2 linked regions of the Kluyveromyces lactis genome follow. The protein of the gene in region 1 interacts with the protein of each later gene in a pairwise test. Links are inferred from orthologs where the notes say so. Each region holds a gene or a part of one and is shown on either strand. Other genes may lie near its edges. The genes, in order: VAM3 and YKT6.

The links.
Region 2: the proteins of VAM3 (region 1) and YKT6 interact in a two-hybrid assay, tested with the Saccharomyces cerevisiae proteins (2 studies listed by BioGRID). The link is inferred for Kluyveromyces lactis from reciprocal best matches to the Saccharomyces cerevisiae genes VAM3 and YKT6.

Annotation. Positions count from the first base shown.
Region 1 is NC_006039.1:1,128,490-1,131,480, forward strand, and holds VAM3 (SNAP receptor VAM3), read right to left. Parts: upstream 1,320-2,991; coding exon 531-1,319; downstream 1-530. Other genes in the region: MET4 (Met4p), read left to right, coding at 1-379; DNA-directed DNA polymerase alpha catalytic subunit POL1, read left to right, coding at 1,840-2,991. UniProt on the Saccharomyces cerevisiae protein: Required for vacuolar assembly. Provides the t-SNARE function in a late step of the vacuolar assembly. Required for homotypic vacuole membrane fusion, autophagy and fusion of biosynthetic transport vesicles with the vacuole.
Region 2 is NC_006040.1:227,751-230,634, forward strand, and holds YKT6 (palmitoyltransferase YKT6), read right to left. Parts: upstream 1,417-2,884; coding exon 814-1,416; downstream 1-813. Other genes in the region: MIA40 (Mia40p), read left to right, coding at 1,816-2,884.

The sequences.
Region 1 (2,991 bases):
ACTTCTCAATGACAAGGAAAATGCTGCTAAGAGTCTCGATGAGAAGATAAACGAAAAAAAGCATAATACTGATTCTGATAAAAACAATTCCTCCAGTGATGGTGTAGAATCGTCGTCCACTTCCTCAACCCTTTCTTCAAGACCCAAACTGCCGAACTTGGATCAAACTAAAAAACTTAAAGAGAAAGAAATGGAAACTTGGGTCCAAGATCTTTCACAGTTAGCTTGTGACTTGAAGCAAAGAATCAATACCCTTGAAATGGAAAACAGACTTCTCAAAAATCTTGTCATTGAACGTGGAGATCTCAAGAATGTTGAGTCTTATGAACTATCCAAAAATAACTCCTCCGAAAGCACTAAAAAGGATACTGACAAGTAAGCTATGATTAATAATTAGTTGTAACCTCTAAGTCGGACATATTTACCTGATGATGCGTGTTCTCTAAAACGTAACGTAACTTTCATCCAAGTATAAGGCCAGAGATAAATTTTGTATTAATATATAGTTACATTCCTCGTAGAATCTAACCCTATGATAGAATCGCGATAAGAGTTATTAGAGTGATAACAACAATAGCTACTAGAAGTATTGTACCACATCTGTTCTTTTTCCTTTGATATTCATTTGCTTTGTGAAGTTCTTTGTTCGCCTTTTGCAAATTATTAGATAATCCTGTCACATTTTCGCCAATTGTGTCAACTTGTTCGCCCTGTTCCTGTACCAGACTTCCTAGTTGTTTGAAGATGGCATTGACCTCTTGCACAGCAGAGTGGATTTTTGATATGTCCTGGGATCTTTCATGTTGAATTATCGTGTGAAAATCTAACTCATCCTGATTCAACAAAGGCTCTTGCTGTTGGGTAGACAAAAGTAACGGAGTATCCTCTGAAGAATGATCCCTCCTCTCGATATCGTCTTGTATTGGCATGCTTTCATATTGCGATACGAGATGTTCCGATTCATTATCTTTACTCTCTTCGTCAGGTATGGGATTCTGTACTGCCCTATTCTCATAATCGGTCTTTACACTGTTATATTGTTTGCTTAACGCTTGAAAATCTCGAGCAAATTTATCTTGTGTATCTAGCGAAGTTAAGTCAGCCAGTTTTCGACTAATTTTCTGGATTTCGGGGATTACTCTATTTTTTATATCAACCCTCAATAGTTGTCCGTCCTTGCTTGTCCCTATTAGATGAGCTTTACGCTTGAGTAATTGAATATTCTGTTCTAGTGTTATCAACAAAGGCACCGCATCGTTTCCACTAGAATCTGCACGATTGTCCTCCTTTTTTGGAGTACTATTTTGATAAAAGGACATCAGATGTAACGCGATTATCTTTACGGGTCCTGCTATCAGCTGTTTCCTTAACAGTTATCCTTCCCTTCAGTTAATGATCACAAACCTCAATTTGAGCACTTTAAAATTGAGGACAGTCTTAAACCACAGGTCATGTGATCCATTTTTCTTTCCAAGCCAACGCCAATTGGTTCAACTAATGGAAATTCGTATCATAATATTGAGGAGCGCACACTCTCTAACACTTCAGCGGCTTCACCGTTTAACCACTCAAGTGTTGTCGGTATTCTACTGTCACTCAATCTTTCGCTCGCTTTTCTTCTCATGCACTCTCGCTTTGTCTCAGCGTTGGTGCCATTAAGTTCATAGATTTCGAACGCGTGCTTTGCAGATAGATACAACTTTAAAAAAAAAAAGAACGCGTAAAAGTAAGAACATCTTCATCATCTTCTTCTTGCAACTCAAACCAGGAAAGACAACAAAACTAAATTACTAGGGTAGTTCGTACTGCCACCCTACACTATTAAAACACTAGCTCGGGATGAGTAATGCGAACAAACTTGAACTGCTCAAAAAATTGCAGAAAGCTAGGAATAATAAATCGAATAGGGATGTGCTAGATGAACAACTGGAAGAAGAAAATGTGTATGACTTGATTGACGAGGATCAATATAGGAGTAAGAAAAGACAAGAGTTGTTAAGAGATGATTTTGTTGAAGATGATGATGGCAGTGGATATGTGGATCGTGGTGTAGATGAATGGGATCAAAGTCAGGAGTTCTACTCTGATGAAGACGATGGTGTTGATGCAAAGTCAGGCAAAAAGCGTAATAAGACCAGTAAGAATAACAAAGGTAAGGATACCATCAGCGATATCATAAAGCAACAAAATGTCAAGAGAAAAATGACAATGCCAACAGAAAAACCTAAGAAAGTGTCACTTGCTGAATTTGATGATATTTTGAGTGAATTTGACGCAGAGCCTCTGGTTAAGAAGCCGAAGCTAACGATATCCAGAAAACAACCTGCAAATACTACGCCTATGAACTATAAACACCCTCAGGTAGATACATCCCCACTTAAAGGTAAAGATGTTGTACCTTTTAAAGCTGATAGCGTTAATCCTATCGATTGTGATTCAATGGAAGAGGACCACGATATTGAATCATTATTAAACGATGTGGCTAGTTCTCCTTCAATGAGCAAGCAGAAGACATATCAAAGCGAAGATGACAGTGAAGATGACGAAGATGATATTCACTTTGGTAGAAAAAAATTCAAATCAATAGCTACTCAAAGGCAGATGAATATCAGCGCTCAAACAGCACCATTAACGTCTTCGCCAACATATGTCACTGCTCCTAACACCCCATTGTCAACTTCTACAGGGTCCACACAAGCAACAGAATCAATTTCCGGATCACTGAGACAAAGAATACCTAAAGAGGATGTAGTAGACGCTGAGACCGGTAGTTTTAACTTTTTTTGGACTGATTTTACCGAAGTCAACTCTTCTTTGATTCTCTTTGGTAAAGTTAAAACGAGAAAGAATCAAGTAGTCTCTGCAATGGCGCAAATCAATGGTTTCAATAGAGAGCTGTATTTTCTACCTAAGGAGGGTAAAACAGCGTCTGATGTCCACCAAGAAATTGTACCTCTATTATTGGATAAATATGGCTTACAATCACTTCGC
Region 2 (2,884 bases), on another chromosome or scaffold:
CTGTATTCCCTCAATGTAGGCAAAATTCACTACGCAGTTGCCAGCCGAACAGTTGGAGATCTAAGGTCAGATGGGTCAACAAACCTGCAATAGCGTAGGGAGTCGTAGCAGACGGTAGATAGAACAGTGAAGTGTTCCATAGCTTGACATAGAACACGGAAAACGGTAAAAAGGACGTCTCGAGAGGTTTGCGCATGCATAACGGCATTTTGAACTGAAAAAAAAATTGTAGCGTGGGGAGAAAGCAGACAGGGTGGGTCGGAGAACAGGAAACAGGGCCCGAACTATACCATCGATACGCTAACGATGAGCTTGAGAAAAGCGAGATTCGGAGTGACTTTTGGAGCTGCTGTTTACCTCCTGTATATTATGTGTTTGGGGGGGATAACGCTGTGAGTAAGTACTCCGAATTTAACAGGCAGATAACGTAATATCAGGTGAGCAGGCAATGGTCGGTCTTGGACCTTATGGTATCTTGGACAAAAGACAGCGTCCAGCAAGTAGACTCCGTGGCCAAGCTGGTTAAGGCGTGCGACTGTTAATCGCAAGATCGAGAGTTCAATCCTCTCCGGGGTCGTTTTTTTTGGAGAAAATTTCTTTCAAAATTGATCCGCTGCCCGTACTCAGCCAGATGATGATAGATAAATCAGACCCTAGTGGACAGGAAGGAACGAAAGGCTGATCAAAGGTGGCGGTCAAAACGCCGGTGAAACCTTACTATTACTTTATTTTGATTACTATTATGCTTAATACTCGTAGCAAGGGCTATATATGATCAGGCTGGCCATGTTTTGGCCTCTATTTCAAATCCGTCTACATAACTATACAGCACGAATTGGTTTTCTTTGCTTGCTTATAGAACATCCTCGATGCAGCAGATAGTGATTCGGACTTGTCTACCAAATTGTCCAATTTCTCACCTCTTTGTAATACGTTTTCAATGGTTTTGTGTAGCGTGATCTTGGTCTCGTCTAATTCTTGCTGTACACGCATTATTGCATCAGCTTGAGATGGGTCCTGATACTTGGCAATATAGATATCCAACTCCTTCAACTTGAGCGAATCGTCACTCTCCGTCACGTCCTTCCACTGGATAGGAGGGTGCGCTACCAAATACTCATCCAATACTTTGTTCAACAACGTATAAGCTGGTCTTACTGGGTACTCCTTATCCGTAATCAAAACACCACAAATTCCTTCAGGCCTTGCGTAAACGTGACCTACATAGTTACCTTCTTCAACACTCTGTCTTTGACCAGCACTTGTCCTGCCAGCAACAGTCTCACTGAAAAAGGACATGAACTGTGCAACACTGTTCCTTTCAAAGAACCCAAATTGTGATAAGTCCTTCACAGAACTTAATTCAAGGGTCTTATCATCGCTGTTTCTTAAAACTCCAATGTAATATATCTTCATCCTTGTATCCTGTATCCTGTTTTCTCCCACTTGTCAAATGAGAAAAAAAGCTACTATTTTGCCCAAACTTAACTATTCTTAGATCCCCTATACGTGTACTATAACACTGTCCTTCTCGTCTCCGTGTTATCTTCAAAATACATCATCATTTCCCATCCTCATATCACAATGCTTCAATATCCATTTTGTTTGATATTCGAATTTTTCTTTTTTTTGCTAACAAAGGCATTTTCAATTTGTCAAAGGAACATTTAAAAGAGAAGCTGATTGATACCCACAACGGGAGGAAAGAAATTTGCTTTTAGTTAGGTTTGGTATTTTTACAGTACACTTAGAAAACGTTTGAAAGTTGCTGACGAGTCAATTGATTATAGGCATATACATATTTTTTTGAAGACAATGTTCCGTGTTTCTTTACAAGCTACTAGACGTGTTGCTTTTAGATCCGCTAGACAAATTAGGTTTTACAGTGCTCATCCACCTTCCGGTGGAGTGAGCCATATGAACAAGCCAGCATTGTTGTTGGCTGGGTTCAGTACTCTTGGTGCCATCTACGTTGCTGATGGGTGTCCTACTTTGATTGAGAGGAAGCCTGCTCCTGCTGAGAAGCCTGCTGAAGAGACTCCTGCAGCGGGCCAATCACAATCTATTTCTGAACCTACGAAGGATGCCGATGAATCTCCGGTGTCTGCTCAGGAGGAAGGTGCTGAGCCAGTTACTACTCCTGAGAACGAGATTACTTATAGCGAGGAGACACACCAGGCCTTAGCAGCCACCTTATCAGGAGATGAGCCAGCTGCCATTGAGCCAGTTGCTGAATCCGTCAATGAACAAGCTACCGAACCAGCTGCCAGTGGAGAAGCCACCAATGAACCTGTTACTGGCATTTCCGAGGATACCAAAGCTCCCTCTTTGAGCTTCGATGACTCAAAAACTGCCAAGGGTGTTGTTTTAGAAGATGAAGCTGACAAAAAGGAGATTCAACAAACAAGCCCAGATGCCGTAAAAACCGCCTCAAAAGACGGTTCAGAAGGTGAATCGGATGTTGTTTTGCATGAAAAATCTCCTGCTGAAGCTGAGACCATAACAGAAGCAGAAGAGCAAGCTGAAATTCGGTCTATCTCCGGTGGCACTGCTGAACAGTCCGCTACTGCGGCTGCTGCGGCTGCAGGTGTTCAAGGTGAAAAAAAAAACGAACAACAAACTGCATACAACCCAGAAACTGGTGAAATCAACTGGGATTGTCCTTGTTTAGGTGGTATGGCATACGGTCCTTGCGGTGAAGAGTTTAAGTCCGCTTTTTCATGTTTTGTCTACTCTGAAGCTGATCCAAAGGGTATCAACTGTGTTGAGAAGTTCTCCACTATGCAAAATTGTTTCAGAAAATACCCAGACTATTATGCTGAACAAATCAAGGATGAAGAAGAAGCTTCTGCAGAAGCTTCAAAAATCGAGGATAAGAGCACTA